Linked DNA regions of Xenopus tropicalis. The protein of the gene in region 2 interacts with the protein of the main gene of each other region in a pairwise test. Links are inferred from orthologs where the notes say so. Each region holds a gene or a part of one and is shown on either strand. Other genes may lie near its edges.

What was found.
Region 1: the proteins of ube2n (region 2) and mid2 interact in a two-hybrid assay, tested with the Homo sapiens proteins (2 studies listed by BioGRID). The link is inferred for Xenopus tropicalis from reciprocal best matches to the Homo sapiens genes UBE2N and MID2.
Region 3: the proteins of ube2n (region 2) and znrf2 interact in a two-hybrid assay, tested with the Homo sapiens proteins (4 studies listed by BioGRID). The link is inferred for Xenopus tropicalis from reciprocal best matches to the Homo sapiens genes UBE2N and ZNRF2.

Annotation. Positions count from the first base shown.
Region 1 is NC_030684.2:40,404,076-40,407,829, forward strand, and holds the start of mid2 (probable E3 ubiquitin-protein ligase MID2), read right to left. Parts: upstream 2,532-3,754; 5' UTR 2,199-2,531; intron 1,231-2,198; exon of another isoform or gene 317-1,230; intron 1-316. UniProt on the Homo sapiens protein: E3 ubiquitin ligase that plays a role in microtubule stabilization. Mediates the 'Lys-48'-linked polyubiquitination of LRRK2 to drive its localization to microtubules and its proteasomal degradation in neurons.
Region 2 is NC_030679.2:56,096,435-56,100,188, forward strand, and holds the start of ube2n (ubiquitin-conjugating enzyme E2 N), read right to left. Parts: upstream 2,834-3,754; 5' UTR 2,816-2,833; coding exon 2,786-2,815; intron 1-2,785. UniProt on the Homo sapiens protein: The UBE2V1-UBE2N and UBE2V2-UBE2N heterodimers catalyze the synthesis of non-canonical 'Lys-63'-linked polyubiquitin chains. This type of polyubiquitination does not lead to protein degradation by the proteasome.
Region 3 is NC_030682.2:51,420,595-51,424,348, reverse strand, and holds the start of znrf2 (E3 ubiquitin-protein ligase ZNRF2), read left to right. Parts: upstream 1-961; 5' UTR 962-1,665; coding exon 1,666-2,080; intron 2,081-3,754. UniProt on the Homo sapiens protein: E3 ubiquitin-protein ligase that plays a role in the establishment and maintenance of neuronal transmission and plasticity. Ubiquitinates the Na(+)/K(+) ATPase alpha-1 subunit/ATP1A1 and thereby influences its endocytosis and/or degradation.

The DNA.
Region 1 (3,754 bases), on a different chromosome or scaffold from region 2:
TACATATGCCAAAGTCATTTGCACTGGACTATAGTTATACTGTGCATAAAGTCCCAGCAGCTGCCACATACAGAGAAGGAGGCACGCCAGATAATATACCGACAGATCTCATGACATTGCATTGAGAGAAATGGACCTATAAGTGTATAGCCCTTATTAATATGCCCAGGCTCGGAGCCAATGTGATGCCCCAAGCAGCACTAACCCACGTCAAGCATGTACCCTCCTGTAATGTGGCTAGAACCCCCCCCCCACCCCATGCCCCTGCTGTCTGTCTATCTCCTCCCCAGTTACACACATGCACATCATGGATTACCCGTAACTTTCCCAGCAGCTGCCCATCTTCTATGGAGAGAGGGTGCAAGGCGCAGTCAGTCACAGAGAAGCAGCGATGGGTCCAATGAGAGAGGCAGACAGGTGCTGGCTTGGCTGCCCAGGGGGGTATCAGAGCTGCTATACAGGGTAATGGCCAAATCCAGAGCTACTGAGTCGGAGCAAGCACAGAGCTGTCACTCCCATGCCCAGTGCTAGTGCCCATATGCCTGTCCCAGAGCTGATGGGCTGGAGACAACACAGTGCAGCAAGCAGGAGGTGCAAAGTGACTGGCAGGCAGCAGCAGCACACAGCTGGCTCTGGGTACATGTGCATAGCCCAAAAGCTGCCAGCATGGGATCAGTGCCCTGTGCCAGGCTCTAATAATAGCAACATCCAGTGCAATAATCACACACAGCAGGGCAAGGGATCCACGGTGCCGCACTCATAGAGGAACGGATCCTGTGCTCTGTGCCAGGGTGCCCAGACATCCATTGCAATTTCCAAAATCCAGGAAGGGATCAAGTCTCTGCCAACTAAGGGGCAGGCTGCCAGTTGCCTGTGTCTGTGCCAAGAGGAGGACAGGATCCAGTGCACAGAGCGGCAGAGACTCTCAGATGGTGTATCTCTGATAGAGAGGGAGGGGGTGACATAGAAGAGTAACAGGCAGTGCAGTTACTTCCAGGATCGATCCATCTTCACTCCCACTCCCTGGCACGTTGGGAAGTCACACATTCACAAGCTCGCTTAGCAAGGAAGAAGGCTCCCTCTGCCGGTAGCAGCGCAATAGTGCAGCTCACTCTGTGTCGGTAGAACAGCAATCCCAGGAAGCATGTTGTAGGTGGGACAGCGCAGGGAATGCTGGGTAGAAGCAACTCACTATATTAGTCAGGAGATGGCCTTCCTGTAATTTGGAGCTTTCTGAATAACAGGTTTCCAGATAATGAATCCCATTCCTTTACTTGTAATAATATAATAAATACAAACTAACTGAAAAATACATTGCAAATTATTCATACATAATTAGGAAACACTCCATGCATCCCGCCCTTAGCTAGGTTTAACCTGTTTCCTTGGGTATTTCTAACAATGAATTCTAACAATCCACATCCTGCATGGCTAGTTAGCATTATTATTTTAGATGCATGCTGCATGACTGAACAAAAATCTGTTTAGTCTGCAGCATGAGTCTAAATTAATTGCTAATTGGCCACACAGGATGTGGATTCAGCACATGTGCTGCTGCATTTTCAGGCAGAATCCTGTGCCAGAATCCTGTGAAAAGATAGATAAGTAATAAAAAATAATAATAATAATAACACTGTAAGCTCACAGAACAATAGTATTTTAGCTATCAGGGTCAGTGACCCCCATTTTAAATCTGGAATAATGTAGAAGAGGAAGGCAAATAAAAAATACTTTGTCCCTTTAAATTGTTCAGTATATGATGTCAATTAAAACGGAAAAATCCAATGTAGATCCATTTTCATTGTATGGAATCAAACCGTACAATATGGAAAGTCTGAATGGGCTTCATATTTACATTTAAAGGGCAGCATATAAGCACTTACGCCACATCTCACCCTAACTGGCGACTGGATGGTCAATAGAACTACAGTACGGAAATGGGAATTAGAAGCATGTAAAATGGCCTCATCTCTTGATGAACTACAATTCCCACCATCCCATGTGAGCAAAAGCGTCGCTTAAACACACACCAATGTGGGATTGTCACACCAGCGTTTCAGTCACATATGGTAACAATCCAAAGGGGCACAAAGGAAGGTCACCCTATGTTAGTGAAATGTTTAATAAAACATGTTTCAATTAGATTTTTGCACAAGTCCTGATGAGTGAGGTGCCAGGGTGTTTGTACTTGTACTTACCTGCAGGGGGCATGTTGGTACAGTCTGCTAGGGGTGTTGCACTGAACTCCTCCTGCGCTGCACGGCCCAAGCATCAAACAATTGCTCACATGGCTCCTTCTCACTCAGGATTAAAATATGAAAAGCTCTTGCTTTCCCATCAAGCACCTGTGATCCTTTGCCCTTATCTTCCATATAAAGTTTAGCCAGATCCAACCTGGAAGGAGAAAGAACAATACCATTCTGATCAAACAAACAGTTCAGCTTAAACTTAACTTTTTATGTCACAGAGACAGCAGCATTCCAACACAATATGCAATTAACCATTATTTTAAAAATGTATTTGATCAGAAACTCTCACACTTAGAATTGCAGCTGCTGCCTGGTTGCTAGAGCTTAACTACCCCTTAACCATAATGCAGTTTCAAAATAAAATGGACAGTTAGTAGTAGATGGGCTGAAAAGAAAATATTAACATAATTAATGACATACAAACCAAAGAGGTCAGTGGGAGACACAAAGCGGGCTGTACAGACTAATGGTAAAAATGCTTGGAATCACCCCCATTCATTTCCATGGCAATTACCTAGACAAGGGGGCCATGTGACTGTAGCATGAAAATCAGGCAGACAGCAATTTTGTGGGTTCAGGTGATTGTCATAGAAAATAATGGGGATAATTTTGATCATTTTATTTGCCACATACTGAACTGGAAATCGCTTGGGGAACAAAATATCCTCTTCTGTGCCATTACCCTAAAGCTGTACATTACAGGCCATGGGGGCAATAGGGGCAACAGACCCTGCCACCTCAAAAGACCCAGGAAAACAGAGGGCCCAGTGGGAGTGCACAAGCCCCCCACTAATAAAAAAGGCTTTAGTATTGATACTGTTGGGGGGAAATCCATCCTTCCTATAGATGTTGCCTTTCTTCCCTATTAAGATCATTGGCATCAAATACCAACTTTACAGGCCAAGTAGCAGCCTCAGATACAGACATGGGGGCACATTGAGGGAAATCATAATAGATATGTAGGAATGCCAGAGCGGCCCTCTTTCTATGTTTATAAGTGTTTTTCCACAAACTGGACAATGCTGTGTAGTCCTGGGGGACAGTGACCCTGAGAATCAGAAAGCAGATTGATAGGGTGCAAGTCTATTCTCAGCCTCAAGCAATGGGATTACAGCACCATATCAACTGGCAACTGGCTGCCAGGGATACTATGTCTTACTATGGCTATTTAAGCCACTGCCTGGTTTCTAGGAGGAGAGAGACCTTAGAAACAGGAAAACTATTAAAGTGCAAAAATGTACAAACAGCACACAGAAAATTCATATTCCGCGTAGAATACTTTCATCTTCCTCAGTAATCGTATACCTGTATCCCTCTAGTCATTGCTAAACTACAGTTCCTACCATTCCCTATGATAACCAGGAGCCAAGCTGTAGTTCAGATAAGACACCAGAGAGAGATGATCTAAGCAGGGCCATAATCAGTGGGCACAGGGAGAGTCCAGTCAGGAGCCCTGTGAGTTCCGATGGTGGCCCTGATTCTAAGGCTGCTTATGTTTGGCGTTT
Region 2 (3,754 bases):
GTCAACAGGTTCTATAAATATTCAACACAGTAAAAGGCTTAATCTTTCCCATAAGGAATGGTTGTGGGAAAGATCTTCAGTAGGCAGGTAGGGTAACTAAAAAAAAAAGAGCAAAATCATGTGAACTAGCTATAAACTGAAATAGAAATCAGGACAAGAAATATCATGAAAAAATGGTATGTAATAGTGAATAAAACTGAAAAATAAAGAAGCAGGCCAGTAAATGTACTGATGCCTTTGAACTCGAGTTAGTAATAACTTTTGAGAATACCACAGATAGCAAGGAACAAACATGGATCCTTGACAAGATCAAACCAGACTTTCCACTTGATTCGCTAATAAGAAAACTGAAGCTTTCTTATGTTAGACATATCAGAAGATCATGATAATTGCATTAGACAATTTATAAACGTTGAATGGAAAATAAAATGCATGCAGGCAATATCTATATTGTTGCCAAGGGTCAACACCCAATTGATGGCACATTATTTCACTGCATGTTATCTTATGTATGTTAGAAATACTCCAAGGAAGCCATAGTGAGATTCAGATTTGCTGTGTAGCTTCAAATAAATATTTTACATGTAAAATACGGTTTCATTTTAACTGCAACAGCAAAACAAACCAAAAACTTTTACAACAAATATGCATTAAATGATAATATGCATTAAAACAAAACATCTAAGGGCTTTTTAAGCCAAATGATTTTAACCGTTTGATTTTATTTAGTGATGCTGTCTACACCATCACCAACATCTCTCTCCCAGCACTCAGTGCAGCATTTTGACAGGTTGCCAGCAATTAGCTTTAGAAATTAAAGTGGTGTAAGCTGGAATCATGACAGGAAGTGCTGGTGATCTGTTCCTGCTGAATTAAACTACATATACCACTTTGGTGCATGGTTTATATGCCAGTTTTTCTGCATGTGTTACAGCGATGCACTTAAATAGCTACTATATTGAAAGCAAGAGTGTGCTATATTTTTCAATCTCATCACATCCAGCCACAAACTTCTTCCATTTCATCCGTGTATTTTGCGAAATGTTTTCTTTGTATATCAGATGTATGTAAGAAGTCCAGCAAAAATATTTAATTATACATGTGAGGTTGGAAAAAAGGTTCAAATACTGGTTAAAAGTATCTTGCATAATATATGATATAATTTAGACAGGAAATGTGGAAACACTGCTGACAATATAGAAGATGGTTGTCACTGATTCACATAAAAAAGTGAAGCAGATAGAGCTTAGCAGAGGCAGACATCCCAAAAAATGAACATTTAAAATATTTAATTAGAATTTAAGTAAAATCTGGGCTTCAGCACAGTACCTAGTCCAATATTGATATTCATAGGCCAATTTCCCAACCACTGTAAATGGCAATACTATCAACCTAAGTTACCCAACCATTTAGCATGAAGATTTAAAGGACAGATATCTGCTTCCTTCAGTGCCTCACATCATATGACATTCAACTGTATCTTTATTTGACTTAAAGGGATGATGCAACTTCAGAATAAAGTATATGCCATGCGTTCCACAAATAAATGTTGTGGCTGAAGTTCTGAAAAGCTAATAGTGAATCCTGTGGCAAAATATAACCTATCACAAGCTGCTGGGACAAGAACAGGTCTTCTGAGAGACTGCACATTACGCAGAGACACCACAAAAGAGGGAACCTGGTTGCCTCTTTAGAGCATTGACAGATGGAGCTACTTGTTGTGGCTACAAAATAGACAACAGTAAATATTCTCAATATGTGTTTCAGCAGAGACAATTCTCAGTATTATCTATAGAAGGGTATTTTCTGGTACTTTGTGGCTGCAACTAGTAGCTCTGTGTGTCATTAAGTAGTTTACCTAGAATAAGAATTCTTAATCTAGGTGTTGGGGAACCACAATGAATCCCCGTCCACGCTACTTAGGTTGGGTCTCCATAACCTTTACCTGACCGAAAACGCCACTGAAGAACAGTAATTACGAATTATAATATGGTGCTTAAAGGATCCTAAATTAATTAGTGGTTCGTGAGTTGTTCCAAAGTCACCTGGATACCCCAGAAAAACGTAACACTTACCTAGAAGCAGCTCTGCGCTAGTATTTAGTAAGGGTAAAATCCCCCTTAGCATGGCTCAACCAACAGCCATGTAAAAATGTAGAATACATTGGGGTACAGTGACAAGCAGAACTATTTGGCTCCCAATTTAACTAAATGAGGTGCAATAAATAGTGAGCCAAGATGAAATATACCCTCCTTACTAATCAATAGCCTACCTATATATAAAATGGTCTACTGCCGACACCTCTGCCGTCAATTGATGCAGTAAAATGCGATATAGCTCCTAAACACTAAGCACACGTATTAGTAATGGCATGCAGTGTCTGGGGGAGTCACCCTATGTGCTACAGTGTAACTCATTCCTATATACCCCCCCCCCCATATCTGTACCCTTATGTAGCCTTAACGCTAACAGACTACAAGCAAATGGCGTGGGTGTGGTCGGCACAAGGTTTTACTTCAAGCACAAAAAATAACGTTGTCCCCATATCCCCGTTGGGGTGGTTTCCTATACAAGGCGCGCACACATAGCGACCCCGGACCCTCAACCCCATCAGACATCACTACAGGCCCAGTACCACCCGGCGGGTGCCATGTTGAAGCGGGCTGGAGGGCGGGGACATTCCCGGGCCTTGTCTCCATTCATTCGGATCAATGCCGCTGATCTAAGCCCAAGACATAACGTAAAGCAATCGCTACTACTTCACTAGCTACAAGCCGCCAATTACCTTGATTATCCTGCGAGGCAGCCCGGCCATCCTGTCTTATAATGCGTGCAGCCTCCAACTCTCTGCGTGCCACCGGATCCCCCTGTCACGCACAAGTGAGAGCGCGGCATCCGCTTCCGCTGACGTCATTGCGACAGCCCACAGGCTCATGGGAGATGTAGTTGTAACGGGACTCGTTATTCCTCTCATGTATAATGATGTAATCACGCTTGTTGGTGTGTGTAGTCAGAATGTTCATTTTAGCCCAAGGAACAATGCTTAAGTGTTTCAGTATGTCTTCTATGCACTGCCTGTAGCGAGCATAGAAGACATTGAAAACCAACAAGACGTAAGAAACGAACAGTCGTGTTAGCATGATGAGGTTTCAGCTTCACCCCACCCCATACAGCTGGCGAGACAAGAAATGAAACTGGAGTCAGACTATGCTATAAGGCCTGAAAGTAGGACACCTTGAATAAAACCATATGACTTCACTATTATATTAGCAGAAAAAAAAGCAACTTCATATTAACACCCTCTGAATGTAATGTTAGGCAGGTAGCAAATGTTTTGATTCTTTTGGTAACAGAATATAAGACTCTACTTGAATAGAAGTCGGGGTAATAGTGTATAGAGCCAGTCTATCAGAAATTGTTTACACATTTTGCAGAAACCCCAGCATCAACAAAAGCTTAATTCATGGTGGCTTAGTGGACTGCCTTGCAGTGCTGGGATCCTGTATTCAAAACCAGTTTGAGCATGCAAGGAGTTGGTATGTTCTTTCTGTGTCTGGAGTAGCTCTGGCTAGTCCAGTTCCATCTCACACACCAAAAACATATAGATAAGTTAACTGCCTACTCCCTAAAATGCTTTCCCACTGGCAATAAAGTGACTTATTGGTGGAAAGGAATATGCAGCACTACATTGGCCAAAGTTTCTTGTGCAGAAAACATTGCATGACTGGAAAACAAAGTGACGTGTGTGCTTTCC
Region 3 (3,754 bases), on a different chromosome or scaffold from region 2:
AGCTGGAACTGGAACGCAAGAACACATAATGGAAGACAAAAGCAACACATTAAGCTAAATTAGGCCCTGGCACAAAAATTGGAAGCTAATGGTGCCTAACAATGTATAGTATATATAAATATCATAAAGAAATGCAGTGTGTATGTACAGGGAGTATTGCATAGGAAATATACAGTGTAGAGGTTATAAAAGGTGAATATTTAAAATGCTTGTAAGGGCGGTACAGACAAATAATGAATATACTTATTAAGGAGGATGTGGGCTGAATTAAGTAGTCACCAAGCCAACTGCCCCTGGGGATGCCCAGAGCTAAGGCTCAACAGGTTGGAGCAGCAGGTTGCTTGGTAACAGAGCGGATGGGTTCCAGGCATTACAGAAAGGCATATCTATCATATATATATATATATATCTATATCTATATATACATATGCACCTACATCTGCTGGACAAGATAATGGTATTCAATGATGAACCTGCGACCCCCACAGCTACTGCTACAAATCCCACAACCTTCTTCTGACAATGAGGAGGTGTGAGTTGCATTATAATAGCAGCTGGAGGGGTAACTAAAAATGACACATTTTCTCAGAAAGGGCCCTATAGTCTGTGAGCCTTGTGCGAATGCCCTCCATGTCTTCTCTAAAACAGACCCTGCTCGGTGAGGCGGAACGCGCGTAGGAGCTGCCATCCACTGTAATGGAAATTAAAGCGATGAAATGGAAAGAAATGGGGACGTGGAGCAACAGAGCAGAAGCCAAACGGCGGCAGCAGCCAAGGAGACGGGCTAATAATGAATGTAGGAACACGCGGAGACAGTGGAGGACACGGAGCTTTGAGAAGAGACGTGAGGGGCGGGATATACTGTGACAGACAGCAGGGAGGGCGAATGGCACTCCGGGATAGGAGGGAAACCAGGCCAAGGAGCTTTGTACTTGAGGAAAGAATAACAACAGAGCGCAAGTCTTTCATAACAAGGAGGGAGGACTGCCGTCTGGCTGACAGGAGGGGCGGCCCAGGCTCCATGCGTCCCTGCACACACACCGTGCATTCCTGTCAGCGCACATACACGCACGGGTAACCTTGCTGGCACTGCGGCACTGGGATGTGAGGCCGGGCACCGCTCATGGAAAGTTTGTAGCCCTGCTGCTTGTGGGCAAACAAGCTGTGTGTATTGTGTGCGCTGTGGCGGCAGCCAGGCACCTGGGCGCTGGGAACAGGGGGGCGCCCTATGGATGTTGCGCTCAGCGGGGAGCGAAGGGGCATGTGACACGCGGAAGGACACCTCCAGGGCCGACCTGTGACAGGAATGTACAATGTGCCCGGATAGGTGACACCACGGGAGAGCATTGTGTACAAACAGCGGGGGGCTGGGGTTACTTGGCCCGTACACACCTGTACCTGCCGAAGAGCTGCTAAGCCTGCCGGATACAATGCCCCCTGCGCTTGGTGTCGGGTGTGTGCCCAGAGGGGAAGAAAGGGACGGCCAAGCTTGGTATTAGTCTGGCGCTGTATGAGCGGCTCATGTATGGGCAAGGTTGGCCAATAGTGTGCAACACACCCGGATCTGACTGGCACTTAACTCAGGACTAAGCGCCTTCGCTCAGCACAAGGACACTTGCCCCTCACCCCCCGGTGGATGCTGAACCAGCCGGGTGTGTGTCGGGGATGGGTGGGCGGCAGAGCAGCAGTCCGGCAGCGGACGGTCGAACAAGGGCTTATTCTGGATCGGATATCCCTACTAATACGGCCCGGGGGCCTTACAGGGGCCCTTCTGGTGTCGCCTCTTCCTCCTCGTCCCCTATAGCCAGATACTCCTATGTTTCAAGTGGGCAGGCGGCAGCGGGCAGTGCCGGGAGAGGGGCGAGCGGCACGGAGAGCACTCAGCCAGCAGCATTGGCTTCCAGGAGCCGCTCTGTGGGGGGGATACGGAGCCAAGCCCCGCTTAGTATTCCCGGGGCAGCCCGGGACTCTGGCAGCAGCACACCCGAGGAAGGATCCCGGGAAAGGGCACCTGGGGGGCGCGAATCTAGGTTAATGATTGGATCTTTACCTGCTCACCTCTCCCCACACCTCTTTGGCGGTGAGTATTCTGACATCATGTGAGTGACGTGAAAGCACTTGCCTTACGCTTGTCCTTCCATTCCGACTTGTGCTACATTAGTGGGGAGCTAGAATTAGACTTTCCCTAGTTGTTCTTGAGTTGTTCTCAGACAACCAAATGAGGATGCGAGAAAACTGCTGGCAACTTTAAGGGTGAAGACACACAGCGACAAGTAGCAGCTACTTGTCATGGCTCCAAAAATAGACAATGCTAAACATTTACTGATAACTGTCTCTGTTTTGTTTGGCAATTCTCTGTTTGACAATACTCAGTATTGTCTATGGCAGGGTATTTTCTGGCATTTAGTAGCTGTGACAATTAGCTGCTACTAAGGGCTCTGGCACACGGGGATATTAGTCGCCCGCGACAAAACTCCCTGTTCGCGGGCGACTAATATCCCCGAGTTGCCACGACCCGCCATCCCGCCGGCGAACATGTAAGTCACCGGCGGGATGAAAAAGACTCGCAAGGCTTTTTCGGCGATTTCGGGAAATCGCGCCGCCACGTGTGCCATCCCGCCGGCGACTTACATGTTCGCCGGTGGGATGGCGGGTCATGGCAACTTGGAGAGATTAGTCGCCCGTGACAAGGGAGATTTGTCACGGGCGACTAATCTCCCCGTGTGCCAGAGCCCTAAGTAGCTCTGTGTGTCTTCACCCTAATTCAGCAACAGCTGGGGTAGAAAGAAATGACCACTAAATGCTGTGATGGTAAAGGCTTAATACTGTGGTATTGCAAAAGTGTCAGGCGGTTTTGTTTATGTAATGTAGGAAGTGGCAGCAGTTAGTTGTATTGGTGCCAGTGGAATTTTTAATGGTACGAGGAAACCAGAGAAGCCCAGTAAATGGTTAAGCAGGCAGCAAAGTTAATGATTTCATATTTTACTGAAATTAGATCACAGCTCAAAAATTTGCTTATCGTATATGAGGCACTGAACATTTAAATACACTTTGTGTGGCTTATGAGATAAGTTCTTGTTTCTCTGAAAGGCCTGAGTACATGATGCACGGCATGGCTAAATCTGTCATAAGCACTGTTTCTTCCGCATCGTTCTCAATTCACTGTAACCACTAACAGAAGACACCGTTGCAGCCAAACAAAGATTGAGTGATTTAATGTCGTTTTCAATTGCATAAGCTGTAGCATGAACATAAAAATAGGAATAACTTAAATATTGATACCTTTTGACAGACCCTTTTTTGCATTCACACATTCAAGTCTTTAGGCTAATACTAGTGGTATAAGCTATTAATGCATTTTAATACTCATATTACCTCCTCTCTGTACAGCACAAAACCAATGTCAAACAAGCGTGTGGCTGTCATGTTTATGCTTTGTTATGTAGCTAAAAGCCTGAGTATTTATACACATAAAGCATCCGACATGTACAAGAGTAGTGTACATGTAGAAGGACTGTACAAGATTGTGTGATAGCTTACAATAATTCAGGCCCACTGGTATAGCATTGATTATTTGAGGAAGGAAGCCCTGTAACAAGCACTTGACCTTAAAGAGGTACTTTACCTTTAAGTTAATTTTTTAGTTTATCATAGAATGGTCAGTTCTTACCAAAATTTCATTTGGTCTTCATTTTTTAATTGGTTTTTGATTTATTCACCTTCTTATTCTTTCCAGCTTTTAAATAGGGTCGCT